Linked DNA regions of Oryctolagus cuniculus. The protein of the gene in region 5 purifies or fractionates together with the protein of the main gene of each other region. This does not show direct contact. Links are inferred from orthologs where the notes say so. Each region holds a gene or a part of one and is shown on either strand. Other genes may lie near its edges.

What was found.
Region 1: the proteins of EPB41L3 (region 5) and RNPS1 purify together in Homo sapiens (co-immunoprecipitation; 3 studies listed by BioGRID and IntAct, with this or other methods). This does not show direct contact. The link is inferred for Oryctolagus cuniculus from reciprocal best matches to the Homo sapiens genes EPB41L3 and RNPS1.
Region 2: the proteins of EPB41L3 (region 5) and HSPA12A purify together in Homo sapiens (affinity purification with mass spectrometry; 4 studies listed by BioGRID and IntAct, with this or other methods). This does not show direct contact. The link is inferred for Oryctolagus cuniculus from reciprocal best matches to the Homo sapiens genes EPB41L3 and HSPA12A.
Region 3: the proteins of EPB41L3 (region 5) and GSK3B purify together in Homo sapiens (affinity purification with mass spectrometry; 4 studies listed by BioGRID and IntAct, with this or other methods). This does not show direct contact. The link is inferred for Oryctolagus cuniculus from reciprocal best matches to the Homo sapiens genes EPB41L3 and GSK3B.
Region 4: the proteins of EPB41L3 (region 5) and PNN purify together in Homo sapiens (co-immunoprecipitation; 3 studies listed by BioGRID and IntAct, with this or other methods). This does not show direct contact. The link is inferred for Oryctolagus cuniculus from reciprocal best matches to the Homo sapiens genes EPB41L3 and PNN.
Region 6: the proteins of EPB41L3 (region 5) and CLNS1A purify together in Homo sapiens (affinity purification with mass spectrometry; 3 studies listed by BioGRID and IntAct, with this or other methods). This does not show direct contact. The link is inferred for Oryctolagus cuniculus from reciprocal best matches to the Homo sapiens genes EPB41L3 and CLNS1A.
Region 7: the proteins of EPB41L3 (region 5) and NUMA1 purify together in Homo sapiens (affinity purification with mass spectrometry; 3 studies listed by BioGRID and IntAct, with this or other methods). This does not show direct contact. The link is inferred for Oryctolagus cuniculus from reciprocal best matches to the Homo sapiens genes EPB41L3 and NUMA1.

What each region holds. Positions count from the first base shown.
Region 1 is NC_091450.1:33,012,884-33,016,096, forward strand, and holds part of RNPS1 (RNA-binding protein with serine-rich domain 1), read left to right. Parts: coding exon 1-52; intron 53-254; coding exon 255-410; intron 411-876; coding exon 877-1,068; intron 1,069-1,280; coding exon 1,281-1,383; intron 1,384-1,532; coding exon 1,533-1,686; intron 1,687-3,213. UniProt on the Homo sapiens protein: Part of pre- and post-splicing multiprotein mRNP complexes. Auxiliary component of the splicing-dependent multiprotein exon junction complex (EJC) deposited at splice junction on mRNAs.
Region 2 is NC_091446.1:13,651,947-13,655,894, forward strand, and holds part of HSPA12A (heat shock 70 kDa protein 12A), read left to right. Parts: intron 1-2,868; coding exon 2,869-2,972; intron 2,973-3,653; coding exon 3,654-3,948. UniProt on the Homo sapiens protein: Adapter protein for SORL1, but not SORT1. Delays SORL1 internalization and affects SORL1 subcellular localization.
Region 3 is NC_091435.1:76,474,047-76,477,994, forward strand, and holds part of GSK3B (glycogen synthase kinase-3 beta), read right to left. Parts: intron 1,701-3,948; coding exon 1,507-1,700; intron 1-1,506. UniProt on the Homo sapiens protein: Constitutively active protein kinase that acts as a negative regulator in the hormonal control of glucose homeostasis, Wnt signaling and regulation of transcription factors and microtubules, by phosphorylating and inactivating glycogen synthase (GYS1 or GYS2), EIF2B, CTNNB1/beta-catenin, APC, AXIN1, DPYSL2/CRMP2, JUN, NFATC1/NFATC, MAPT/TAU and MACF1.
Region 4 is NC_091443.1:36,472,114-36,476,603, forward strand, and holds the start of PNN (pinin), read right to left. Parts: upstream 3,062-4,490; 5' UTR 2,618-3,061; coding exon 2,505-2,617; intron 1,853-2,504; coding exon 1,781-1,852; intron 1,374-1,780; coding exon 1,305-1,373; intron 851-1,304; coding exon 778-850; intron 665-777; coding exon 570-664; intron 421-569; coding exon 345-420; intron 1-344. UniProt on the Homo sapiens protein: Transcriptional activator binding to the E-box 1 core sequence of the E-cadherin promoter gene; the core-binding sequence is 5'CAGGTG-3'. Capable of reversing CTBP1-mediated transcription repression.
Region 5 is NC_091441.1:62,322,130-62,326,077, forward strand, and holds part of EPB41L3 (band 4.1-like protein 3), read right to left. Parts: intron 3,497-3,948; coding exon 3,422-3,496; intron 3,056-3,421; coding exon 2,957-3,055; intron 1,885-2,956; coding exon 1,174-1,884; intron 665-1,173; coding exon 542-664; intron 1-541. UniProt on the Homo sapiens protein: Tumor suppressor that inhibits cell proliferation and promotes apoptosis. Modulates the activity of protein arginine N-methyltransferases, including PRMT3 and PRMT5.
Region 6 is NC_091432.1:68,750,977-68,755,386, forward strand, and holds the start of CLNS1A (methylosome subunit pICln), read right to left. Parts: upstream 3,156-4,410; 5' UTR 3,107-3,155; coding exon 2,982-3,106; intron 1-2,981. UniProt on the Homo sapiens protein: Involved in both the assembly of spliceosomal snRNPs and the methylation of Sm proteins.
Region 7 is NC_091432.1:63,479,708-63,483,655, reverse strand, and holds part of NUMA1 (nuclear mitotic apparatus protein 1), read left to right. Parts: coding exon 1-698; intron 699-1,132; coding exon 1,133-1,174; intron 1,175-2,590; coding exon 2,591-2,659; intron 2,660-3,948. UniProt on the Homo sapiens protein: Microtubule (MT)-binding protein that plays a role in the formation and maintenance of the spindle poles and the alignement and the segregation of chromosomes during mitotic cell division.

The DNA.
Region 1 (3,213 bases), on a different chromosome or scaffold from region 5:
AAAAGAAGAGCTTGCTAGGAGTCAAAGAAAATAATAAAAAGTCCAGCACTAGGTAATCCTCCTGCCAGATTTTTCTAGTGCTACATCGGGGGTGCTCACCGCTAGGGACCCTGAGAGAGGGGAAGAGGAGAGTGCGGCCCACCGGAGTGCTCGGGCACCGGGGTCTCTAGTCTCCCGGACCCCCTCTTCTGGGTGTGCTGTTTCAGGGCCTGCTCGGAGGAGCAAGCGCTCTCACACTCTTCCTCACCGTGCAGGGCTCCCTCTCCTACCAAGCGCAAAGACCGCTCTGACGAGAAGTCCAAGGACCGCTCCAAAGATAAAGGGGCCACCAAGGAGTCCAGTGAGAAGGACCGCGGCCGGGACAAGGCGCGGAAGCGGCGCAGCGCTTCCAGCGGCAGCAGCAGCACCAGGTGGGGCGGGCGGGCCGGCGGCAGCCACAGCCGCCTCTCCACACGCACCTGCACGCTGGTGCCAGAGACCCCGGTGCCAGGCCGCTCAGGGTCTGCTCTGGGTGTACGGAGGGACGGCCTTTCTCCTTTCTGTGATGGCAGGGAGAGTGGTGTTGCGTGCGGCGTGTCCTGCGCTGCCGTGTGCTCACACTGCCCGGTCGGGAGCTTATCCTGGTGGTTGGAAACCGGCCCAAGTCAGTGAGCAGCGGCCTCCCGGGCAGAGCTGGCGGCTCTGGCTGCGCCGAGGGCCTCAGCGGGAGAGGCTTCTGTGCAGGCGGAAAGTGGCCGGGTCCTTTTGCCTGCCTCCAGGCGCTTGGGCAGGGGGCGCCTCCCTCAGGCGGGAGAGCGCAAGCGTGCAGACGCCCGGGGTCTGGTGGAGGAGCAGCTCCCGCCTGTTGCGGCGGTGACCCTTGGTGTCCTGCCTCAGGTCTCGCTCCAGCTCCAGCTCCAGCTCGGGCTCCAGCACCAGCACGGGCTCCAGCAGCGGCTCCAGCTCCTCCTCGGCGTCCAGCCGCTCCGGCAGCTCCAGCTCCTCCCGCAGCTCCAGCTCCAGCAGCTCCTCTGGCTCCCCGAGCCCCTCCCGGCGCAGGCACGACAACAGACGGCGCTCGCGCTCCAAGTGAGTAGGCCAGCCCGCGTGCCAGCCGGGCGGTAAACGCACCGAGTGTTTCTGTCCCGATAGGCTGTAAGCCGGGGTGACATGCATACACTGGTAGCAGAGTTTCCTTAGAAAGTGTTGGGTACGCAGGTAACTTCCACTAAAGGGAGTCCAGTGCGTTTTGAATTGACAGGAATTGTTTGTTGTGGTGTTTCATTGTCTTCCTCACTCAGATCCAAACCCCCTAAAAGAGATGAAAAGGAGAGGAAAAGACGGAGCCCGTCCCCTAAACCCACCAAAGTGCACATTGGGAGGCTCACCAGGAACGTGACCAAGGTGAGGGTCCCGGAGCCAGGCGGGACCGTGGGGGGTGCGGGGGTGCGGGGCTCGGCAGAGCTCTGGCTGACTCCGGAGTGTTACACAGGCCTCGGAGGCTGATCGCAGGATGAAGTAATGGGTGGTTGAATGAGCTTTCTTTCCTCCAGGACCACATCATGGAGATATTTTCCACCTATGGGAAGATTAAAATGATTGACATGCCTGTGGACAGGATGCACCCCCACCTGTCCAAAGGCTACGCCTATGTGGAGTTTGAGAACCCGGACGAGGCCGAGAAGGCACTGAAGCACATGGACGGAGGTCGGTGGCCCTGCTGGCGCGCTCCGGCCTCTGAGCCCTCCTGGGAGCTCTGGGGTTCCAGTGCGGGTGTGCTTACCAGAAACGTGTTTTTGTGGCACACTTGGTTTGGAAAAACATCCCACAATATGAGTGTATCAGCATTTTAGGGAACTTTCCATCTGTTAAAAGCTTAAATATCAGACAGGCTATACAGATATGCTTGGCTTTTCTCATTCTTTTAAGATTTATTTATTTGAGAGACAGGCACAGAGAAAGAGCGAGGTCTCCCATGTGCTGTTTGACTCCTCAGCCACCGCAGCCAGGGCCGGGCCAGGACCCAGGGACTCCATCCTGGTCGCCCGTGGGGAAGCAGGGGCCCAAGTACTTGGCCACCATCTGCTGCTTTCCCGGGCATGTTGGCAGAGAACTGGGTTGGAAGTGGAGCAGCCGAGACTGAACTGGCAACTGTGCGTGGGATGCTGGAGGTTGTAGGCTGTGGTTTCACAAACCTCTCCGCCATAGTCCAGCCCCTGTTGGGCTTTTTATTTCCTTTTCATTGCTTCTGAGTCATTTTTTTGTTTGCCAGTATTTTTAGGATTCCTTTGTTGAGTGGTAGGTTTGCTGAAATCACAAAACTTACTCTTAAATACTTGTGGCCTTCAGCTGCTTGTGATGTGTAGAGCTGTTTGTGTTGAGCAGAGTGTGTTGCTTGATTTTTTTTTTAAAGATTTATTTATTTGAAAGAATTACACAGAGGAGGAGAGGTGCGGAGAGAGGTCTTCCATCCTCTGGTTCACTCCCCAGTTGGCCACAACGGCCGGAGGTGGGCCCATGTGAAGCCAGGAGCTTTTTCCTGGTCTTCCCATGCAGGTGCAGGGGCCCAAGGATTTGGGCCATCTTCTGCTTTCTCAGGCCATAGAGAGCTGGATCAGAAGTGGAGCGGCTGAGTCTTGAACCCTTTTGGAAGGTGCCGGCACTGCAAGGGGTGGCTTTACCCGCTACACCACAGCACCGGCCCCGAGTGGAGTGTGTGTGTTTTTTTGTTTGGTTTGGTTTTTGTTTGTTTGTTTGACAGGCGGAGTAGACAGTGAGAGAGAGAGACAGAGAGAAAGGTCTTCCTTTGCCGTTGGTTCACCCTCCAATGGCTGCTGCAGCTGGCGCACCGCGCTGATCCGAAGCCAGGAGCCAGGTGCTTCTCCTGGTCTCCCATGGGGTGCAGGGCCCAAGCACTTGGGCCATCCTCCACTGCACTCCCGGGCCACAGCAGAGAGCTGGCCTGGAAGAGGGGCAACCGGGACAGAACCGGCGCCCCTACTGGGACTAGAACCCGGTGTGCCAGTGCCGCAGGTGGAGGATTAGCCAAGTGAGCCGCGGCGCCGGCCTGGAGTGGTCTTTACAGCACATGAGTAGTTGTGGATGACCATTTTTGTGTTGCCTTTCAGTCGGCACGGTAAGGAATGCCGGGCTTGCCTCTGCCCAGCTTCCTGCTTGCTGTAGTTGGGCTGGGGCTGAGTTCGGCAGCCCACAGGGAGGAGAGGGAACGCCTGA
Region 2 (3,948 bases), on a different chromosome or scaffold from region 5:
TGTCTCTTGGTGCAGCTGCTTCTCTAACACGGCTTTTTCATGAGCTTCTGGAAGACCTCTTGCGCGCAAGGAGCTCGAAACTTCCTGCGCCAAAAGACACTTCCGCTTCACTGTGTTCCCATCAGCCTTCCGAAGCAGCCTCCTGCGTCAGTGTGGGGCTCTGCAGGAGACACGTTCTAAGTCCCAACCATAGTACCATCATCATCATCAACCACCTAGTCAGCATTAACATTGGTTTTCCACTTAGCTCATAAAGTCTCTCCATTTGCGTCATGGTGCACGCGAGGGCTGCACACGGCGAGGGCATGACGTGCTGTGGCGTACGCCGAGCGTACAGGCCCCTCCTGTTTACGGTTTATTCCGCAACAACACGGCTGTTCAAGCTGCTGAGTTCTCTGCTGTCTGCTTTTGCTCCCCGCCTGCCCGGGGTGTTACGTAACACTGTTCTACTCTCCACTGGGAACGTGTTGTGGCTTGACTTAGAGGAGTGATCGGGTCCAGGTTTGCAGATCTAGTCCCTGGCTGGGGCATTTCCCACCGCATCGCATCAGGGCACAGGCGCTGTCTCTTCTCTGTGATGTTCGTGCCTTTCGGTCATTGCCCGCGTCCATTCCTTCATGTGGCCGTGCGGCTGCGCAGGCTGTCATTCTTTCTTCATCAGTTGAGCTGGAATACTGCTTGAGCGAGAATCTTCTCCACAGTGGTTTTGTTTGCAGTTCCTGTTGGAGCCGGTGCCGTGGCTCACTAGGCTAATCCTCCGCCTGTGGTGCTGGCACCCTGGGTTCTAGTCCCAGTTGGGGCGCCGGATTCTGTCCCGGTTGCTCCTCTTCCAGTCCAGCTCTCTCCTGTGGCCCGGGTGGGCAGTGGAGGATGGCCCAAGTGCTTGGGCCCTGCACCCCATGGGAGACCAGGAGGAAGCACCTGGCTCCTGGCTTCAGATCAGCACAACATTGGCCGTAGCAGCCATTTGGAGGGTGAACCAATGGAAGGAAGACCTTTCTCTCTGTCTCTGTCTCTCACTGTCTAACTCTGCCTGTCAAAAATAAAATTAAATAAAATAAAAACCAGTTCCTGTTGGAAAGACAGAAAAATGCCTGGGTTAATGCCTTCATTTATGAGCCAGAATCCCTGGAGAGTTGATTTCCTAACATCCTCCAGAGTGGCTAAAGAATTGGTTTTTATTCTCTTGTGGGACACAGGGACAGCATGAGTAAGCATTCATGGCATAAGCGTGTCTGGTGTGTTTTCAGCCACGACACCTATGTCCTTATTGAGGCTCAGGTCATCCCGCACTGGCCAACTGTTGCCTCTGCACATGATTCTGAGGGCCTTGGACAGGAGGTCCTGGTGGTCTCTGACCACATCTCTGCCTCTAGGAGGTGGAGAAACCCCTCCTGACTCAGCTTGGCCATTTCTCTAAGAAGCACTAGGGCAACACGGTGGATTTGAGTCCCGGTCTTCTTGTCCTTGGAGCCGGGCTACACTGGACTCTGACTGGACCGATGTCCTCTCTGCCCCACTGGCCCCCTTCAGAGGAACCCGCCTCTGTGTTGAACCCCAAGTCCTGCCTGCAGAGTTTGAGGGGCCTGCCAATCCTCCTACTGAGGACACTAGCCACAGCTGTGGGGTCACCCCACCCCATGCCACAGTGTCCCTTGGTCCATGCCATGGGAAGAATTGCTGGCATCATCTACAGAGTGTCGGGGAAGCATCTGGTGTGTGCTGGGTTCAAGGGTGGATTGCCGCGTGCCTGGCCCCCAGCTTTCGCACAGGCGGGGCACAGGCTGCGGGTCTGGGGAATAAACAGTTCGTGGCATCCGTGGAGCATCAGAAAGTTCCCACTGTGGTCGCTCACTTGATATTCACCGTCACCTGTGAGGGAGACAAGGTGAGTCTGTTATCCCAACTTCCAGATGTGAGGACGGCGCTCACACAGTAGATGGGACGGAGAGCTGTTCTGCCACGCTCAGGTCTTAGAGAAGCCCGCAGCTGCTGCGCGGTGGTGGCCGGCCACCCTGGGTCCCTGTCCCTGCTTCACGCTGCTGCTGCCCTGGACATGCTGTGCTTTTTTTTTTTTTTTTTGACAGACAGAGTGGACAGTGAGAAAGAGAGAGAGAGAGAGAGAGACAGAGAAAGGTCTTCCTTTGCCGTTGGTTCACCCTCCAATGGCCACCGTGGCCGGCACACCGCGCTGATCTGAAGGCAGGAACCAGGTGCTTCTCCTGGTCTCCCATGGGGTGCAGGGCCCAAGCACTTGGGCCATCCTCCACTGCACTCCCTGGCCACAGCAGGGAGCTGGCCTGGAAGAGGGGCGACCGGGACTAGAACCCGGTGTGCTGGTGCCGCTAGGCGGAGGATTAGCCTGTTGAGCCGTGGTGCCAGCCCCATGCTGTGCTTTTGACAGAGGGACTAGGAAGGGCATCCAGTAGGACTGAGCTTGTCACTGACATGTGACAGGTGCCTGGGGCGCAGGTGATGCAGCCGGGTGCCCGCGCTGGTATCTTGGTAGCCTTACCCGGCAGTACAGACACCACACCGGATGAGTCTTTAATATCATGGCATCCAACCTTTGTTAGAATCAGATGGGGTCCTCCAGAAGAGAGGGCTGCCCTTTATTTACGCCCCTTTGCTACTGCATTTGGCTTCCAGTATCCCAGCAGCAGGTCGGCCACAGCCCGAAGCAGAGAAACAGAAGAGATTCGGTCCTAGCTGGTGAGCGGCTAAGGGTCGAGGTCCTGCAGGTTGGAGGACGTCCAAGGGAGCTTTTGACTTGCAAGCTCTTTCTGCTCTGGGGTGTGACAGGCGTTCTGCCAGGGCACAGGACTTCTCAGGGAGACCCTCACTGCCTGCTCCCCCCTTCTCTCCCAGCGTGGATTTCGTGAAGTGGTCCTCGCAGGGGATGCTGCGGATGAGCCCGGACGCCATGAACGCCCTCTTTAAGCCGACCATCGACAGCATCATTGAGCACCTCCGTAAGTGCCTGCGGCGCCTTGGCCACACAGCGGGGCAGAGCTGAGACTGGGGCCTGACTTCTCCAGCATCAGGAGTCAGGCTGGTAGGGGGCCTGGGGCTGGATGCCACAGGAGTGAGCAGGGCTTGGGCTGGAAGCCACAGGAGTGAGCAGGGCTTGGTCATGTAGCGAGGAGGTCCCACCCCTCTCCTCAGGTCCTGCAGAGCCGCCGAGAGCCTGCCCTCACCTGGGTTCCAGTTTGGCCCCAAAAGACAGAGAAATAGGAGCTGGGAAGCCTCCAGGGAGTGCACTGTCTGCCTCATCAGGACACGGGGGGTCCTCACCCTGCTGGGAGAGAAGCAGCTGTGGTGGGAACCAAAGGAAGGTTTTCCCGGGGCAAAGAGGACCTGGCATGCAGTCCTACTGCCCCTGCCAGTGGCCCTGACCCAGGGACACACAGCAGACTCGCTGGATTGAGGTCCAGCAGGGGCCTGCTGGATGGGAGCTCTTGCTGTCCATCTCTCAATTAAATAAAACAGAATGGCTCCTGGAGAATTCTCTTCAGTGAGCTCGGATGCCGCCAGCCAGCTCTGCAGGCGGCCCACGTGGTTTCTGTCCACTCGCCACGGGCTCGGGCGGCCCACGGCTCGTGTGCCTGCTGGCTTTCACCAACGCGATGTTCTGTCTCCCTCTTGCTTTTCAGGGGATCTGTTTCAGAAGCCCGAGGTGTCCACGGTCAAGTTCCTCTTCCTGGTGGGTGGCTTTGCCGAGGCGCCGCTGCTGCAGCAGGCGGTGCAGGCTGCCTTCGGCGACAAGTGCCGGATCATCATCCCCCAGGACGTGGGCCTCACCATCCTCAAGGGTGCCGTCCTCTTCGGCCTGGACCCCGCGGTGATCAAGGTGCGCCGGTCCCCGCTCACCTACGGGGTGGGTGTGCTGAACCGCTACGTGGAGGGCAAGCACCCGCCCGAGAAGTTGCTGGTGAAAGATGGCACACG
Region 3 (3,948 bases), on a different chromosome or scaffold from region 5:
AAGTCACTATAATAAAATAATAATTTACATATGCAGTTAATTCAAAGTCTGGGGGAAAAGAATTAAAAGATAAATTTATTTAGGTGTAGGCCGGCGCCGTGGCTCAATAGGCTAATCCTCCACCTTGCGGCGCCGGCACACCGGGTTCTAGTCCCGGTTGGGGCGCCGGATTCTGTCCCGGTCGCCCCTCTTCCAGGCCAGCTCTCTGCTATGGCCAGGGAGTGCAGTGGAGGATGGCCCAGGTGCTTGGGCCCTGCACCCCATGGGAGACCAGGAAAAGCACCTGGCTCCTGGCTCCTGCCAGGATCAGCGCGGTGCGCCGGCTGCAGCGGCGGCCATTGGAGGGTGAACCAACGGCAAAAGGAAGACCTTTCTCTCTGTCTCTCTCTCTCACTGTCCACTCTGCCTGTCAAAAAAAAAAAAAAAAAAAAAAAAAAAAAAATTTATTTAGGTGTAAGTAATTTTGAGCGGACAGCGTTGTGGCATAGCAGGTAAAGCATTTGCCTGCAATGCCAGCATCACATATGGCCAACAGTTTGAGTCCAGGTTACTCCACTTCTGATCTGGCTTCTCTAATGTGCCTGGGAAAGCAACAGAAGAAGGCCCAGGTGCTTGGAAGCCTGCACCACATGGGAGACCCAGAAGAAGCTCTTTGGCTCCTGGTTTCAGCCTTGACAATTGCAGCCCTTTTGGAGAGTGAACCAGTGGATAGAAGATCTCTCTGTTTCTCCCTCTCTCTCTTTCAAATAATAAATCTTAAAATAAATTCATGCATATGAATGTTCTTCAAAAATTTCATGAAAATGCATATTATAGAAAAGGTATAATGGATTTCAAGTATTTTAAGATTTATTTATTTGAAAGGCAGAATTACATTGGGGGGGGGCAGGAAAACAGAGAGGTGAGAGAGAGACAGAGAGAGACAGAGAGAGAGAGAGTGTGTGTGTATTCTTCTATCTGCTGGATCACTTACCAAATCACTGTAATGGCCAGGGCTGGGGCAGACCAAAGCCACGAGTCAGGAGCTTCTTCTAGGACTCTCATTTGGATGCAGAAGCCCAAGCACTTAGGCCATCTGGATTTCAAGTATTTTTACATCAAAATAAACTTAGCTGTTCATTCCATTTTTTCATGAACTTTCTGATGAACCCTTGATTAAGATAGCCACAAATGGGACCAGCACTGTGGCGCAGCGGGTTAAAGCTCTGGCCTGAAGCGCCGGCATCTCATATGGGCGCCAGTTCAAGTCCCGGCTGCTCTCTGCTATGGCCTGGGAAAGCAGTAGAAGACAGCCCAAGTCCTTGGGCCCCTGCACCCATGTGGGAGACCTGGAAGAAGCTCCTGGCTCCTGGCTTCGGATCAGCACAGCTCCAGCCATTGAAGCCATTTGAGGAGTGAACCAGCAAATGGAAGACCTCTCTCTGTGTCTTTACCTCTCTCTGTAACTCTTTCAAATAAATAAAATAAAAAAAAATTAAAAAAAAAGATAGCCACAAATGTTCTTACCTTAAATCTCTTGTCCTGTAATACTTTCTTGATGGCAACCAATTCTCCTGAATCACAAAGTTTTGCTTGATATACTACACCAAATGACCCATTTCCAATCACTTTAGTGTCTGTATAACTGACTTCTTGTGGCCTGTCTGGACCCTGCCCAGGAGTTGCCACCACTGTAGTTACCTTGCTGCCATCCTTGTCTCCTAAAGGAAGAAAGGGATTCAAAGAAAAAAAAAATTAGAAGTGTACAAAGTTAAACTGAGAAAACTCCCCCAAACTACAAAGACCACCATATTCTTTACTACAAATAAATTTTTAATAGTCATCTTAGTTTATCATATAAAATTACTTCAGTTATACATTTCAATTACAAGTAATTTTTAAGCCACCATTTATTTAATCATTCTGTAGACCAGGCATCTTACTTAGTTTATATGTATAATTTTATTTAGTGGAAACAGGACCCCATGAAGAAGATGTTACCATATTAAAGGTAATGGAAAGAACTTTCACAGCCCTCTTGTGCCTCCCCTCCTAGCAGAAATCCTAAAAGCTCTCTTCAATTCAAGCTGAAGACCTACTGTGTACTTGACTAGGCATAGCCCAGAATCACCATGTTCTCCGAATTCTTAAATTATTCTAAATTGCACTGCTAACTCCCTGGTTTTTAAAAGCATCATATTGTTCTCCTAGTGATTTCAGAATACACATAGACTCTAGAAGACTAAAATCATCTTAAAATAGCAGTTGTGCTTCCTACTTTATCTCTTCACTGACAAATCTAAAACCAATTTTCAGAATAAATTAAATCCTCAGGTTCACTGACTGAACTGTATATATTTCCTCTGCCATCCTTACCTAATTCATACTAACCCAGTAAAAGAAATGTAATATTTTTGGAGTATTCTTCATCACCAAAAGTTAAATTGTTAAATAAATTAATATCTAAAATGTTGGTGGAACATTATATTCCAGATTTATAACCATTTAAATTCATAGAAACATTAATATAAACAAAAGACAATAAACAATGACTGAGATTTACTCTCCTGCTTATAAAACAATCTTCATAACAGATACAAAGAAATGATTTGATTCCTACTGGGGTGGAGAATGTCCTGCACCTGGGCCATACAAGGCCCAATAAATTTGATCTGGTCCTGCCAAGGCAACCACTAGGACTCCAAATTCAGTAAATCTATGGCAGACTAACTTTTAAGCTGATAATTTCGTATGGACTGCAAATGATATTATAAATATCCAATGGCTCTTGACAGAAAAAAATTTCCCACCCCTGCATAGGTAATTTACAGGCAGTCATCATGGACAACTCTTGAACACATATACCTTGTTTCAAGGTAAAATTACCCAAGCAGGTAAGATTAAATTAGCACTAAGCTGCTACTGCTTGAAAGAGTGATTTTTTTTTTACATTACATGTTTTAAATGCATATAAACCCTAGCACAAACCAACACATACATAGCTGTTCCCAAAATTTCCAAATGCTCACTTTAAGTCTCATTTCCTAGTAAAATAAATCTCAGATACATTTACTAAAAATCTAGTTTAATCTAGAGCTCTAGTTTTCATGACTCAGCAGCCCCCAAAATATCCGTGTTAATCTTAACTATAATTTTCCAAGTTAACTATAAATCTTGGGGCCAGCGTTATGGCGCAGCGAGTTAACACCCTGGCTGCTCCACTTCTGAACCAGCTCTCTGCTATGGCCTGGGAAAGCAGTAGAAGATGCCCAAGTCCTTAGGCTCCTGCACCGGCGTGGGATACCGGGAAGAAGTATCTGGCTCCTGGCTTTGGATCAGCACAGTTCCAGCTGTTGTGGCCAATTGGGAGTGAACCATCAGATGGAATACCTCTTTCTCTCTCTCACTCTCTGCCTCTCCTCTCTCTGTTTAACTCTGACTTTCAAATAAATAAGTAAATCTTAAAAACAAAAAACTATAAACCTTATGTTATTTTCTTATTCATTTGCAAAATAAATTTCTTTTTATCTGTTTTTAGTACTACTAAGGACAGAGCTTAATTTTGAGAACTTAAACTCAAAATGAACAAGCCCAGGAAGATTTCATTCGGAAAGATTAAAATCCAAGGTATTGAATATATTCTTACAACCCAATGGTCCCAAAGAAGACAAAAAGCTGGAGTGACTTCAAACACAGTCTGACTCTTCCCTCTACCACTGAAGTTAAAACTCGATCATCAGAAAGTTTCAAGAACTATGAATTAATTTCACTGTACAAATTGCTTGCAAAATCTTACATGTCTAACTCACAAAACAGACCATCATTATCTTAATTAAGATAAATGAATAAATTGGAGATCGGCTGCTATACTACACAATTTTATATGAAAACAAAAACTGGGGTATACCACAAAATTATGCTTTTCTACGTTATGATGATATTTCAGTAAAGAAAACAACTCACACCTTT
Region 4 (4,490 bases), on a different chromosome or scaffold from region 5:
AATCTTAAAAGCTAGAATCACTAGTTGCCAAGATCAGAGTTCAACTCCTTTATTTGCCAGAAACTACTCTGAAATGCACTAACAAAGGGATTTATCCAAGACCAGACAAAGAGTTTAGATCACAACTTAGATCCTTAAGAGTTACAGACTAGGGCTCTTTTTATCACAAATAGTTCATGCAATTCACAGTCCTTCAAAATTATACCAGCTAATAATACAATAACCTCAAAGTTTTAACTTAGTTCCATTTTAGGCTTGCAATGAAGTTTTAGAAGAGTTTTTAAGTTCTTTTCAAAAAACATTAATCAACCATTTTGATAAAGCAAAACAAAAACCATAAATACCCTTTCAGTGGCAACAGTGGATTCCTGTTTAAATTTTTGAAGGGTGCCCATCAACAAGCCAAATATTCGTCGGTTCCTAAGAATAGAAAAAGAAAATCCCATTTTAACAGGCTGTACATTTAAATCTGCCATTTTCTGATACTGCAGACAGTTGAATAATCCCTTCACATTTTTTAAATTGCAGGATTTGACAGATTAGTTTCCCCAAAAGAATTCTAAAGATACCTTTGCTTTCCCTTTTCATCCATATTTTGATCCTGGATAAGGTCTCTACGTGTACGCTCTTTGGAGGTAGCTACAACTGAAGACTGCAACGCTGGCTGTAGGCGAAAAGAAAATCTTATTAATCTAACTAGTATATGAGTGCCATGCTTTTAAACACAGAGTATAAATATTCCATTCACTCTCTATTAAGTTCTTTTAATCTCAGTACCTTTTTAACATCATCATCCTCTGGGTCGCTTTCTTGGCGTGATTCTCTTCTTGTCCGACGCTCCCCGCCCAGCCTGTCATGGCAAAAAGTAATTTAAATAACCACTGCAGAATTTGATGTAAATGCATAGCAAGGCAAATGCCTACTGTTGCTAGGTCTCTTTCCCAGAAAACTCATTTAGCAGTCTCCATCCCATTTACTTTTTCCTCTGGCAAAGAAAGGATAAAACGTGTCAACTAATGCCCAAACTCTGAACTCCTATGACATATAAATTATTTCTTAGGCTATTTAAGTTCTTTAAGTACAGGACATAAAAATACGGTACAAATGGACTTCTTATGACCTTAGTCTGATAAAAACTGGATCACCTTGAGCAAAGAACTGAATTTTGAGGAACACTGGTTATCTCAGTTCAGTCAAATACCATGGCAAGCTTTAGGGAAAGTGGATACTAGTCAATTCTAATGCAACAAAACAATATTCATGAAATACTTATTTTTGTGTACTTAAGAATCTTTCAAACCTACCTACTGACTGCCCCTTCAAGGTCTCTCTGTTTGGCTGGGGGTCCTCCTCCACTATCTGAGAATCCACGCCTGCAATTAAAATTGTTCAACAGAAAGCACTTGAAACACGAGATACAAGAGAACGCAATTTGATTTTTAAAAATTCTTTCAGTTAAAGTTATGTTAAGTGGGATTCACTCCAAAATACTTCACGAAAAAATACAAGAAAGTTGCACAAAATTCTCCAACCTCTTACATATAAATGAAGCTTCAGAATAGCTAGTTACATAGAAAACTAGCTGATTACAACATTAAATGCAAATACTGTGTTGTTCTTTTTTAAGATGTATTTTAATTATTTTGAAAGACAGTTACACAGAGATGGAGAGACAGAGAATACCACGTTACTCTAACACTGGCTCCAACACAGGTTTTGTTCAAACAGTGTATTAATTTAGTTAGCCTTTAACACTAGTAAAAGCGTAAGGGAATCTTACCTCAGCAATAAATTACCACGTCCTCTACCTCCACCAGGACCAGAAAGGGCCAGCAACCTGGCTTGGATGGGCCTGGAAGGGATTTACTCGTCAGTACAAAAATTACAGGAAGACCAATCTAACGGCACCAAATCCCTTCCTACCTGTGTTAGATCATAAAAAAAAAATAATAATAATAACTTCCCCAAAATTCTAAGACGGTTTAAAAGCCACACGTTTGAAACGGGGCAGGGAGTCCTATTTCATTTAACTTCCTCGTTTTTCTCGAGACCATTATCTCAGAAATTATGTTTACCTCGATGCCACCACTCGTTACCAAGCCAGGACCGGGTCCCCATGGCGCCATCCCGGAGTTAGACGCACGTGGGCAAGGGCTGGGAGCGAGGCGGTGGGCACGGCCCGGAGGGTCTGGGGCCAACCCCGGGCAGGGAGGGCGGCCGCCGCAGCGGGAAGGGGCTTTGTACTGCAGTTCCGGGGCCCGCGGGGCTGAGGGCGGGAATCTCCAGTCCAGCCCATCTCACAAGCCGGGACATCATGCCGGCGCAACGAGGCGCGCTACGGCGGGGCTGGGGCCTCCCCAAATCAGGGAGGACGGGAATCTACCGCCGCCCGGGAACAGGCCTCGATGTTCCTGCCTTCTCAGGGCTGGCCGCTCTCCCCGCCCCCAATTCACCCTGACTTGCTGGCTGCCTCTCCGAGCCCGCAGTTCCCGTCCGCTTCCTACCTCACGTCATTGGGATCTCGCCCGGTGAGCTTGCGGATATTCTCATCTACGTTCTTTAGGCTCTCTTTGGCCTTTTCTAGCTGCTCCTGCAAAGTTCTCACTGCGACCGCCATTTTCTCCCTGCAGCAGGCTTCAAGACTGCTCTACAGGCCGCGCCGCGCTGCGCCGCGCCGCGAGACCTGAAAGGACTGACAGCCGGATTCAGCCAATGACGAGCGGCGTTGATTTTTGGTCTCAACCACTCAGAGACTGGAAAGGGGAGACACTGCCAATCTTTGTGGCTCTGGACCAATGAAAAGTCAGCCAGGCGGTCGCCTCCCTCCCCAGTTTCCTGCGGGTGGCTGGGTCCCGCTTCTAGCGCAGAGTCAGGGCGGGCTTGAGAGAGACGTGTGTCCTCGGGGACGTACTCGCAGACCTGCAGTTCTGGCGGAGAGCGCTGGGCTGTTCAGCCCTTTTAACCTGTGGTGTGACGTACGTTATATCGTTTTAACGACAAAATCCCACCAGGGTGGGACGGAGGCCAGTCGGCTTCTCCTCCGTCTCGCACCCGGATCAATAATCTAATTAAGAAAGGGCGTGGCCAAATGGTTGGTGCGCATGCCCGGAGGTGGAGTGGGCGTCTGCTTCCCTCCATTAGGTTAAAGTGAGTAGGGGGAAGCAGAGTGAAAGATGAAGAATAAGAAACGTCATACTCCTAAGAACTGACAGCTGTATCGAGCTGGTCTGGTTCTGGACGCCGTGTGAAACTTTACGTGCCTTGTTCCTCACCACCAAGCGCTTTGAAACAGTACCAGTTAATACTGATAAGGAATACTGCCCCTAGGTCATGCCAGAAGTCGCCATCCGATCAGACCCGGTGCCAGGCTTTATTAAAAGAAAAAACCGACGACGAGAAGAAAAAAGTCGACGCAGGCACGACTGACTGAGCACCTTCGCCTAGTCTACAGCCTGCTGGTTTAAGACCCAGTCTGTGGTGTCCCCATTATTGTTGGTGTGTGTATGTGAGAGAGAGAACTGGCCTCTGGTTCTACTCTGCCTGCACCGCCAACGTATGAACTGATTTTGTTTGAAAAAAATGTAGTATAAAGCGTAGGTCAGAAAACATTTCCCCACGGAAACCACTTGAATAATCTCAGCCAGCCATCCTCCTTGCACTAAACATTAGCAGGGCGACTATATTTAACTAGAGCTACCATTTTATTTCAGGATCTATCCTTTAAAACGATCACTGTGTATCAGCAGTAAGCTAGACTGGGGGTGTGGGGGGGGGGCGAATTTCCTAAAACAAGTTAGCTGTGGCTCCTGCTTTTGTGGAATGGGTAGCTCCTAAAGGAGCAAAGATCTTTGGATCCACCATTGAGTGTCTACTGTGAGCCAGACACTGTTCTAGGCACTTTGGATAAAGTGGTGAGCAGCAGAGGTCTCTAAAGGAGCTTGCAGGGAGGAAAGGTGTGGAAACAGATTATAAACAAAAGTAAATTATGTGGAGTGTTAGAAGTGTTACAGAGGGGCCGGCGCTGTGGCGCAGTAAATTAATCCTCCGCCTGCAGCGCTGGCATCCCATATGGGCGCTGCTCCGCTTCCGATCCAGTCCTCAGCTGTGGCCTGGGATAGCAGTAGAAGATGGCCCAAGTCCTTGGGCCCCTGCAAACGCGTGGGAGACCCAGAAGAATCTCCTGGTTTCGGATTGGCGCAGCTCCAGCGGTTGCAGCCATCTGAGGAGTGAAAGAATAGAAGGAAGACCTTTCTCTCTCTCTCTCTCTTTCTCTCTCTTTCTCTCTCGGTAAATCTACCTTTCAAATAAATAAATTAAAAAATTTTTAACAGAAAAAGGGAAAAAGGTGAGATGAGAATTATTTATTTTTAAAGTTTATTTATTTGAAAAGCAGGGAGATAGAGATCTTCCATCTTTTGAAGTAGCTTCCTTTTTAATTTTAAAAAAATTGATTTATTTTATTTGGAAGGTACAGCAACGGAGGGAAAGAG
Region 5 (3,948 bases):
AAATGTTATTAGAATTTCTCAACATGGCTGTCTTTTGACCATCTAAAGTATGCTATTTTAAACCAAATAATTCATTTATTTGAAAGGCAGAGAGAGAGAGAGAGAGAGAGAGAGAGAGAGAGGCCACCTGTATTCCCAAATGCCCACAGTGGCTGGGGCTAAGCGTGGGAGCTGGGAACACAACCTGGATCTCCCAAGTGGGTGGCAGGAACTCAATTACTTGAGCCATTAACTGCTGCCTCCCAGGGTCTCCATTCGCAAGAAGCTGGAGTGAGCCGCTGGAGCTGGCACTGCGAATCAAAGCCAGGTACTCCCCCACGGGATATGGTGTCTTCGCCACCGGTCTCTATGCTGGCTCCCCAAGTACATCCTTGGAGCGGAACTAACTGTGGATGGACAGAAACACCAAGCAGGCACAAAGGACAATCCCTGAAGGCACCTGTGAGGTCTCGAAGGCAAAGCCACTTGAATGCAAAACACGAACACACACACATAAAGCAAGGCACAGGCACAAACACGCAGGAGGGAAGCCAGTGGGCACCTGAACCCAGCTCTGAGCAGTGGAGGCAACCCCTCCTATGAACTCTGTTGGCTTTCGGGCAGACTCTAACAAACTGAAGATCTCAGAGCCGTCCATGAGCTTTTCGCCGGAAGCCTGCTTGGTCTGAGTGGACAGAGAAAGGCAGAGTCAAGCACCAGAGACACAGGTCCTCAGCAGAGACACATTCACGGCTTGTTACACACAGCTGGAGGCGCAGGAGAAGGGGAGGAGGAAGGAAGGAAACTAAGAGACGGAGTTCGGAAACGGAAAAGAATGGGAAATAAAATAGCCAACCAGGGTGACCCTGAGCTCTTGGTTGGTAAAGCAGAGAGAGAGAGAGTTATTAGGAGAAGGGCGGCACCCAGTAAAGCGGGTCATGTTTTTCCTTCATTGCCAGGCACAGCAGCACGATCACATCTTGGGAACGGGTAGCTGGAAATAAACATTTTAATGCCCTCTTGGGACTGCGGTATCGACTGAACCATGAAAAAAACTCAAAAAGCTGGGTTGGCTGCTCTCAACACAAAGCCAAGCAGCAAGAGAAACGGGAAGGTGTGGGGCGGAAGGGGCACTGCCTCAGAACAGGTCATGCTGGAATCTAAAGCTGCGGCGGAATGAGAGCCACTGGTTACCACCACGCGGGACGTGGACGACTCGGTATGGTAATGAGCAGTAGCCACGGTCAAGGCTGGCTCCTGGGAGTATCTCCACTCGGACAGGCTCTTCCGTCGGGGACCGAAGAGGCCCACCTTCAAGACCTCACTCTCTTGCACCTGCTCCGTTTTGCCAAGGCGCAGGCTGTCCAGCCCAGGGTGGCCAGCTGCTTCCAGCCTCAGCTCTGCAGCCTTCCTGGTGTCTTCATCCTCAGGGCTCTGCCGACGAGACTCGGCCTCCTTGATGGGTGCCAGAGATTCTGACAACTTCCGCTTTGTCGTCTGGACCTCGGGTCCTCGCTTGGGTTTCTCACCGGCAAGGGCTTCCAGGCCCTCATATTCCGCCAGGCCGGGGCCCCTCTCCGTTTTCAGAGGTGTTTCCAGTGTGGAGGGCGGCTCTGCTTTTTCCCCCTCCTTGGCTTTCCCAGTCATGGTCACAACTCTTCCGGAGACGGTGTCATAGGACTTTCCTAGCGTGTATATCTTCTGCTTGCTTTCTTCTTTCAAGTGCACTTCTCGGGCCAAGTCATGGAGGCCGTGCATGTCAAGGGAGCCAGATTTTAACATGTCGGCTGGGAGGTCACCAGTTCTACTGCTCACCGTCACCACCTTGTAAGTGACAATCTTTTTCAAATCACCATCAACTACCTCAGTGGGTATTTTGTCTACAATAACCCAATCCTCTGTGCCCTATATTTGAAATATAAAAGCTAAATTAGAAATTCTGATGGTTATCTCATTTCTAAAATAAGAACCTTTTAAGAAAATCAGGGCAAGAGCTACAGGCAGGCCTGAGGTGGGGCTGCACAGGACGGGCAGTGTAATAATTAACAGCTGCATTCTCTTCTCATTGGAAATTTACTAACTATAACCTTCAACCTGGAATATACTCTTTAGGCAGAATTACACTTTCAGATTTCTCGACATGAACATGCTTTGGTGGTCAATATTGCAAGAAATATATTTGATCTTGTGATTAACTATGGTCATTTTATATTTCAAGATTACAAAACATTACTGAAGTCATTATTACAAGTTAGTTTCTGTATGTGAACACAAAAGAACAATTCTCTGTGTTAAATATACTGTATACTTCAAGTACAAGGATACTTCAAAAAGTCTGTAGGAAAATGCATTTAGAAAAAGTGTATTTTGGTGCAAAAAGCTTTGAAATCCATGCAGTTTTTTTCACTTTACGCATCTTCCAGGAACTTTTTGAAAACCCTCATTCTCACAAGAACTTGCCAACGTTATTCACATTTTTGTACTTATAATTTTCTGTGTTTGTGAGCTGTACTTCCTTTTGTTGGTATCTGACTCCACTAGAGCAATTACCTGATAAATATCGTGTGTGCCTGAGTTCTAGGCACTTCCATGAAATAGCTCCCATTGAGGGACACTGTTGGAGACTTGTATAAACAGATCACAGCCACGTGTGCAGTGTGCAAATTTATTTACAACTGAAGTTCACTGTCTCAGTAGCTTCTTCCCCACTTTCCTCAATGTGAATCCCAGTACGGCAGAAGAAATGAAAGTCTGTATTCAGATGTCACTGGGCAGTTGACTAGCCTCATAGCTTACAGAAGGGAACCAGGAGCGGGTGAGTGCTTTGGTTTACATTTTAATCTAGGATGTTTTCTACATTCATATTTACGGTAGTCTGAAAACTTGAATCTAGAAATAGCATGTGCCTTAAGGAAAATGACTACATCTTGATTACATGCTGGTGCTGGGTTAAATGAAATGAATTGAAAAAAATAACCTCTAGGGTCGCTGGGACAGTTTTCTGGAAAATGACTTGACGAGAGGTAACCATAGAGTCAGCAGAGCCTCCTTCCTGCATTTTCTTGATCACACTCGGCTATGGGAAAACCAATAAAAGTTCAGAGCTTTCAAAATCAATCAAGGTCAGCTACAGTACAGTAAAGAAAAACCAACTGTGGGTAAAAACAGGCAGTGAAGTTTCACTAAGACAAAAGTACAATCATGGTGCTTCAATGACAACATATAATCACCTAACAGAAGCACAAGGAAGTGACATGTTACAAATAATGAAAATACTAAGGAAATTCCTTTGTCTTTTCCCTAGAATTGAAGCAAAACTTATAGACCCACCTTACTTTTAAATGAGAGAAATTTAAACAGGAAAATAAAACTAAAGACATTTTAATAATACTGAAGTCTGAACAGCAATTCCTTCTACAAAGTCCTTGATGTTTATTTTTACCTGAGACTCAAGGAATGAAGAGCTTCCTTGTTGCAAAAATATAACTTTTTCAGAAATTTCTCTTTCTTCTTTGGTCTGTTTGAATAAAGGGGGTTGGGTTGGAGAAGAGGAAGTAGACAGTTTCCAAAAAGGCAAGTTAGGAAGTGAGTTCTTTTATTGTATTAAAATCTATACTCATGATACTCATTCAAACTTTTAAAGAAGTAAATTATTATTTGTTAATTTGCAAAATGGACCGAAACTGTCTCCAATAATTATTTCCAAAGGCAACAGATCCCTTCCTGAAACTTGGAGATTTATACGACTCAACCATTTCTCATTTCCACAAACACAGAACATATATGAGTGACAGAAAGGGCTTCTTGGTAGCTGAACAGTGTTTTTATGTTAGCTACCTGTAAGAGCATAAAAATGAGTGCTTAAAAAATGAAATGTTAAAATTTAAAAATTTACGTTAGGACTAAATTCTCACTTATATTTCAGATGAGTGATTGCATTCCCCATTTATGTGTTGCATGTTAGGAGTA
Region 6 (4,410 bases), on a different chromosome or scaffold from region 5:
TTCCCACTTTGTTAAAACCCATCAGGTCTTGGAAATGCTAAGTGGGAAAGAACAAAAAAATGAGGGGAACAAGACCAAGGAGGTGTGACTAACAAGTAAAAAAGGATGATCAGAGATATCCAAGGTACTGATAGTGTTGTTCTTGTATTCCTTGTCAAATAATGCTTATTTGTTTATGTTCACCTACTTTAAAGGCATAGCAACATAGAGAGAGAGAGAGAGAGAGAGAAAGAGAAAGTGAGAGAGAGATATCTCATTCAATGGTTCACTCCCCAGACGCCCACAAGAGCCAGGGCTGGGCCACACTGAAGCCAGGAGCCAGGAACTCCATCTGGGTCTCCCACATGCAGAGCAGGAACCAAAGCACTTGGCCCATCATCCACTGCTTTCCCAGGGCCACTAGCAGGAAACTGAATCAGAAGCAAATGAGCCAAGGTAGGAACTGGCATTCTGATACAGGGTGTGGGCGTCCCAAGCAGCAGTTTAACCTGCTGTGCCACAGAGCCCACCAGGATATACAGGTATATTTATGTATATATGCTTTAAATCATACATCTATAACATTCTTTCTGCACGTATATTTTACCAAAATACATTTTTTTAAATAAAAAGATTTGTTAGTGAAAACGTGAAATAAATAATATTTTAAAAAAACAGGAACGGGGGCCAGCGCTGTGGTGCAGTAAGTTAAAGCCCTGGCCTCTAGCACTGGCATCTCATGTGGGCACGGGTTCAAGTCCCAGCAGCTCCCCTTCCGATCCAGCTCTCTGCTATGGTCTGGGAAAGCAAATGGAAGATGGCCTAAGTCCTTGGGCCCCTGCCCCCACCCAGAAGAGGCTCCTGGCTCTTGGCTTCAAATCGGCTCAGCTCTGGCCACTGCAGTCATTTGGGGAGTGAACCAGCAGATGGAAGACCTTTCTCTCTCTTTGTCTCTACCTCTCTCTGTAACTGTCTTTCAAATAAATAAAATAGATCTTTAAAAAAAAAAAAACAGGTAAGAAGTTAAAAAGTTATACTTCTTGAGTATGCAAATCATATTGCGCTTATACAGAAGAATATCTTTGTTCTTTGAAGATTTTTTTTTTTTTTTTTTTTGACAGGCAGAGTGGACAGTGAGAGAGAGAGACAGAGAGAAAGGTCTTCCTTTGCCATTGGTTCACCCTCCAATGGCCGCCGCTGCAGCCGGCGCACCGCGCTGATCCGATGGCAGGAGCCAGGAGCCAGGTGCTTTTCCTGGTCTCCCATGGGGTGCAGGGCCCAAGCACCTGGGCCATCCTCCACTGCACTCCCTGGCCATAGCAGAGAGCTGGCCTGGAAGAGGGGCAACCGGGACAGAATCCGGCGCCCCGACCGGGACTAGAACCCGGTGTGCCGGCGCCTCAAGGTGGAGGATTAGCCTATTGAGCCACGGCGCCGGCCTTGTTCTTTGAAGATTTTAAAGTATTTACAAATAAAGTAAAAACATATTTGCAAGTCTCAAGTAGCTCAAGAATTTAATATGCCAAATAATTATTGAATCATTAAGAGACCATAGAGGTATTAACAACACTTGCAATTTTCCTTTACGTTTGAAACTTTCCATAATGTAAATATCTTCCCATAGAATGAAATTGTATAAAGAAGAGCCAAATACAGAGATGCCACGAAGAAAAAAGGACTGGAGAGAGGCAGGGAATATCTCTGTGTTCCATGCTCTTCCCAAGATCACCAGATTTCCTTGTGGAACTCAACGGCAGCTTTTCAGGTTTTATTTCCTTTTAACTGCTCTTTCCTCCTCTTTTCTCAAGCCTCATCTCCATGACTCATCTCTTAGTGTAAGTGCCTCCCCACGGTTCTACGCTTGGCCCTCTTCACTTCCAGGTTATCCAATCAATTCCCTCGACTTCCAAATCTCTAATTGTGTTTCCCTAAATTACATGAGCTTATGTTGAACCACACCCACTTTCAAACCAAACTCATTATCTGCTCCTCAGCCCAAATTTGCTTTCCTCCCCATCCATGTTTACTATCTCACTGATTGGCCAAAAGCCCAAGCTTTGCCCAAGTTCTCCTCTACACCAGTAATTTTCTACAGTTTTCTGTGCCCAAGACTCTGTAGTAGGCAAAAAACTGGCCCTCATGACTTTCATCCCCTGGTACCATGCCTGTGAATGTTATGTGGCAGAAGCGACTCTATAAATGTATGTAAGGTTACTAAGAACCTGACAATAAAACACAAACAGATTGGCCTGGGTGATCCGGATGGGTCCACTGTAATCACATCAGTCCTTAAAAGCAGAGTTCTCTGGCTGCTATGTGATGTAGCAAAAGGGGGAGCCGGGGAGGTTTAATGATCAGGAAGATTCCATGTGTCACTGTTGATTTGAAGATGAAGGGGACCACGTGTCAAGGGCACAGGGACCTCAGTCCCACAACTGCAGCCTCTAAGACAGGTTTCCGTGCCAGGGGATCGATTCCAGGGCCCCCACAGGGGAATCAAGTCCCTGTGGCTGTGACCTCCGCCTGCGTGGGGTTGAGCACGTTCCTGCCTCCCCTCCACATCTACAGAAGAAAACCTACATTCCTTAACCAAACTCTCAACATCCTCCACCATCTGTTCGGAACCCACATCTCCCGCACCAGTTCAGCCGGAAACACGGGCACACCAAAAACTACCTCAGAGCCTGGAACTCAAAACCTTAAAAAGGGACCATGAGTTACGAGCAAGGCACACGCCAGATCGCCGGTACACAGGCGGTTAGGGGCACAATACACGAGGAGAAATTCCGGCTGGAGAAGACAGGCGGGGAGACTCCACAGGGGGAGGCCACTAGAATACTCCAGCCTTCCTCCCAGCCCGGGCACCCTCGAGGCGACGCGCCGCAAACGCCGCCGATCCCGGCAGCCCGAGCCCTCATTTCGCCCGGCTCGTCTACACCGCCGGCGCCAGCAAGGCGGGAGGCGGCGCGCAGGAGGCCAGTGCTGGGGAACCGGGACCCTACCTCTCAGCGATGTAGAGGGTGCCGGTGCCGAGGCCCTTCCCGTTCAGGACTGCCTCGGTATCCGGCTGCTGGTGCCGCAGCCCTTCCGTGGGCCCGGGAGGCAGGAAACTCCGGAGGAAGCTCATGGCTGCACCGAACGCGGAACGCACACCGGCAGGCAGCTGCGGCACAGCGACCCCACCTCGCTCCGACCCGCCCCGGAAGCAGTGGCAGCCACCCCGGAAGAATAACTTAGCCTGCGCGGAAATTTGAGGGCCATCGACCATAGAAACGAGACAATCTAGGAAAAACATTCGGAGGTCCATGAAGACCAGGCCGCGTTTCTCAGGCGACCCCACCCCTCACTTTGCTTCTCTCTTTCTGAGGCTGTAGCCTTGGAATAGCCGAGGGTTCTCTGGGAACTTCAGGGTCGTCACCGTACCCCTATCAGAGCAGAAGGACGAACAATATTAGTCCTTTTTCTACAGAAGAGGAAACGGGCCTGAGACACGGAGTTCTTGGCCTGAGAACGCACAGGAAGTGGAGACCACCGTCCTCTAGAGGTCAGAAGTCTCCCGGCTCAGTTCACGACTGTTTCCTGCCCCCGCCTCACCCGGGCTGTTCGTAGGTCAGGTGGACACAGCCAGGTCCAGTTATGCACCTGGCGCGCGAGCCACGTGTCCCCACGTGTCAGGCGGGCGAGGGGACGAAGAGAGAATTGACGCAGGGTGAAGAGCAGGTTAGGCAGTAAAGATGGGGCGCCAAAGGGAAAAGAACTAACCCCCCAGACATGGAACTCTTGCTGTATTTCCTCCTTAGTCACTTAGTAACGCGTCTAGCAGCAGTGAAGACGTACGAATAGTCATGAATGTAGCTAAAGTTAGCAGAGTACACATGCCAGGTACTGTTTTAGGCACTATGTCCATATTACTTATTTATACGGAGTTACTACTGCCTTGAATTTTACACCTGAGAGACCTGAGGCATTCAATTCAAGAGCAAGGGTTGGATCATGAGACACCTAGTGGAACTCTTGTCAGTCTCTCTAGGCTCCACTCTTGTGGCCTGTAAAATCGCTGGTAATAACGAGGCAGTATGCTGGATTGTTGAAGCTGCAGGACGGGACACGTGGTGGTAATTTACTCTATCTCCTCCACATTTAGAGGAGTCTTGGGTTTTTAAGCTGCATTGGTTTGTTGGTAGTGAGGCTGGAGGAGGGGCAAAATGAACAAAGTATTAGGAAGCAGTTGCCGTAGAACAGATGAGAGTAGCAGAAAGGATGGGGATACTTTTCAGTCGGGCGCTGAGTGGCTGTTCGGACATGTCTGGTGGCTCTGCGGACTATAACAGAGAACATGGCGGCCCAGAGGGAATGGACCCCGATGGTGTCATCGAGAGCAACTGGAATGAGATTGTTGATAACTTTGATGATATGAATTTAAAGGAGTCT
Region 7 (3,948 bases), on a different chromosome or scaffold from region 5:
AGCGCGTGGCTTCAGAGAACCTGCGGCAGGAGCTGGCCTCGCAGGCGGAGCGAGCCGAGGAGCTGGGCCAGGAACTGAAGGCCTGGCAGGAGAAGTTTTTCCAGAAGGAGCAGGCCTTGTCCGCCCTGCAGCTGGAGCACACCAGCACCCAGGCCCTGGTGAGCGAGCTGCTGCCCGCGAAGCACCTCTGCCAGCAGCTGCAGGCCGAGCAGGCAGCCGCCGAGAAACGGCACCGGGAAGAGCTGGAGCAGAGCAAGCAGGCAGCCGGTGGGCTGCGGGCAGAGCTGATGCGGCTGCAGCGGGAGCTCGGGGAGCTGGGGCCCCTGCGGCAGAAGGTGGCGGAGCAGGAGCGCGCAGCCCAGCAGCTGCGGGCGGAGAAGGCCAGCTATGCTGAGCAGCTGAGCATGCTGAAGAAGGCCCACGGCCTGCTGGCAGAGGAGAACCGGGGGCTGGGCGAGCGGGTCAGCATTGGCCGGCAGTTCCTGGAAGTGGAGCTGGACCAGGCCCGGGAGAAGTACGTCCAAGACTTGGCTTCTGTGCGGGCCGATGCTGAGAGCCGCCTGGCTGAGATGCAGCGGGAAGCCCAGAGCGCTGCTCGGGAGCTGGAGGTGATGACTGCGAAGTATGAGGGTGCCAAAGCCAAGGTCCTGGAGGAGAGGCAGCGGTTCCAGGAAGAGAGACAGAAACTCACTGCCCAGGTACCGTGCCCGGCTCCCCCATCCTCAGAGCTGTGGACCTGAGGGGGCAGGGACACTGTTCCTCTGTGTTCTGGGGCTGCTGGCTCCCACACCGCAGGGTCTTGCTTGTCTCCTTCACTGGAGGCTGAAAAGGAGAGGCGGTTGGTAGAGCTCAAGAGTGAAGCCTCTGTAGTCCTAAAGAAAATACCCGTGGTCTCCCTTACCTGGGGGCTCCGTGCCTGGATAGTTGGGAGCACCACCAACCCATTGCAGAGGAACAGCTGCCCTGGAGGTCCCAGGAGCCACTGGGACCTAGAAGAAGCCTAACTGGCATTTTCTAAAACAGCCTGAAGTGTAGTTCCCTGGGGGAAAGTACCAGAGCCCCAGTGAGCTCAGCCTGGTGCCTCTTTGGCCCCCATCTCACTCTGTCTCCATTGCTCCTCCCCCGTGCACAGGTGGAGCAGCTAGAGGTATTTCAGAGAGAGCAGACTAAGCAGGTAATGCCTGGGGTTCTCGCTAAATGCTGGCTGCTTAAGCGGTGACCAGTCTCGGTGCATGACCCCGGCTGCAGCTTGCCTCCGCCAGCTCCCGTTGTGAACTGTTTGTGAAGGGGGCAGGGTCTGCCCAGGAGTGCAGTGTGCTGGCCCCCCCGGGGCCTCATCCCACCCATCCCAGGTCGGCCTCTCCACCCTACTGCACTTTTCTCTCAGCTTCCTGTCAAGGAAAGAGGTAGCATAGGTGTCATCTTTCCCATACCTGACGACCTCAGTCCCTGGGATTCCAGAGCCTCCCAAGTCCTGTTTCTGGTTAGGGACATCCGACTAAGGGATATCAGGTACCTAGGGCCCTGTTTTTCATGGCACTCTTCTTTCCCACGGAGTGCGGGTTTATTGAAGCCATGAAGGAGAGAGATGTACAGGGTTAGGGAGGGTGCGGGTCCAGGAGGCCGCCCAGCGCTCTGCAGCTTGCACCCTAAGCATAGTGGAGAGACGTGGAGAGGAGCAGGTGGGCTCTGCCCCGAGGCGGGACACAGGGTTGGACTGCTCTTCCTCACAGCTCTCTCTCTGCTCCAGGGCGTTGAGGCTGTTGCACTGGTGTTTGTGAGAACACCTTTCTCTACCATCCTCCTCCCCAGTCTCCTCGAGCCTGCTAAGGACTGGGACCCCCTTCTCTCACCTCCAAGGAGCCCCCGAGGATGAGAAGTCAGATTGGACAGCAGACAGTTAGCGGTGGAGCCCCTGCCTCTCCCCTTTGCTGTCTGGTCATGTGTGAACTCCCGGAATGCCTGGACGAGCCAGGGCTGCTTGTGGCTGTTGCCTTCCCTCTTGCCCCGCCTCGCTCTGCTCTTCTCTCTGTGGGACTGTGGGGCGGGCTTGGAGGATGTGTGCTGTCCCTGCTCTCGTCTCCAGCGTCTCTCCCCTAATGCTGATGTTACACAGCAGCCACACTGCTAGCAGCAGCCCTAACAGCCTGTGGGTGTGGGACGAGGTCTGAGCATCTGTGGGCCTCTGCTTTGGCAGTGTCTGGGTGGCAGGCGGGGTGGGCAGTCACTGAGTGCATCTGCTAGTTAGAGGCCAGGCCCCCGTTCCTACCCCAGCTTGGGAAGGGTGGCTGGGGAGCAGTGGCAGGAACTGGGTGGTGGTGAGGAGCCAGTGCTGCCAGCTCTGGTGGCTGCAGGGTAGGGGCGGGTGAGGGGCTGGGCAGGTGGGCCTGGCAACATCGGTGTGGTGTGCTGCCTCACTCAGGCCCTGCCAGCCAGCTGGGCATCAGGCTGTGCCCTAACTGGAGGCCAGAAAGAAGGCTTGAGTTTCTTCTTCTAAGAACACTGGGTGTGGTGGTCCGGGGACTTCCCGTAGCTTGGCTAGACATACAGGGGAAGGCCTCCTGAGTCTGCCCTTCTTTTTCCTCCCCAGCTGGAAGAATTGAGTAAGAAGCTGGCTGACTATGACCAGACCAACAAGATGCAGCAGCAGAAGCTGAAGGTGGGACAGCTGGGGGCGGGCAGCACGGGCCTGACCTCTGGCTGCCTCACAGTGAGGCTGGGGGAGGGGAGGTGCCTCGGAAGCCCTTGGGCTGTGGTGGGAGTGGGGGCAGAGGCGGCCTGCGTAGGCTCAGGAGCCTCTGCCTGTGTCCCATCCCACTAGACCTCACTGCCCACTGCAGCAGCCGCTGCTTTTGGATGGCTCTTTAGATTTGAATTCAGAGTAAACAGAAAATCAGCTCTTCACTCACACCAGCTGCATTTCCCCTGCTCAGTAGTGTCGCATGGCGAGGGTTACCAACTGGCAGCACAGGTGGCAAACATTTTAGCAGGGCAGAAGGTTCTGTTGGATAGTGCTGGCCTCAGTAGCCTGAGCTCAGGGTGTGGCAGTGTCAGCCCTGAGCAGTACCAGGCAATCTGTATGTTTTTAAAAGATTTATTTGAAAAAGGTACAGAGAGATCCATCTATTGGTTTACCTCCCAGATGGCTGAAAAGACCAGGGCTGAGCCAAGCCAAAGCCAGGAGCCAGGAGCTTCTTCCAGGTCTCCCACATGGGTGACAGGGGCCCAAGCGCTTGAGCCATCTTCTGCTGCTTTGCCCAGGCCATTTTTTTTTTTTTTTAAAGATTTATTTATTTCAAAGGCAGAATTAGAGAGAGAGGTCTTCCATCCACTGGTTCACTCCCCTATTGGCCACAAAGGCCAGGGCTGAGCCAGGCTGAAGCCAGGAACCAGGAGCCTCAACCAGGTCTCCCATGTGGATGCAGGGCCCCAGGCACTTGGGCCATCTTCTGCTTTCCCCAGGCTGTTAGCAGGGAGCTGGATGAGAAGTGAAACAGCCAGGGCACAACTCGCACCCCTATGGGATGCCAGCGTCACAGGTGGCAGCCTCACCCGCTGCGTTACAACGCCAGCCCTGTAACGGTATTCTTAATGACTTCAACCTTGTCACCTTCTGTGACTAAATATTTGCTGTGGTTTGAGGCTTCAGGGCCTTTATTTGAGGACAAAGAAACTGGGTACCAGGGGCTTTGGGACTCACTGCCATCCCCTCCATCCCTGTCCTGACTGCATTCTTTCTGGGGCCTGCCCTGTGCTGGAAGAGAGGCAAGGGCAGGATGCTCCCCTCCGGGACCCACAACAGGTTAAGCACTTGCCAGCGTTGAAGCTGGACAGAGGATCATGCCCGGCTCTGGAGTTTCGGTCTGGATCCAGGAGGCTGCTGGGACACAGCCAGCCACCATAGGCACTGGGCCCATTTGCTCTGCCATTTAGTCACTGTGACCCTGG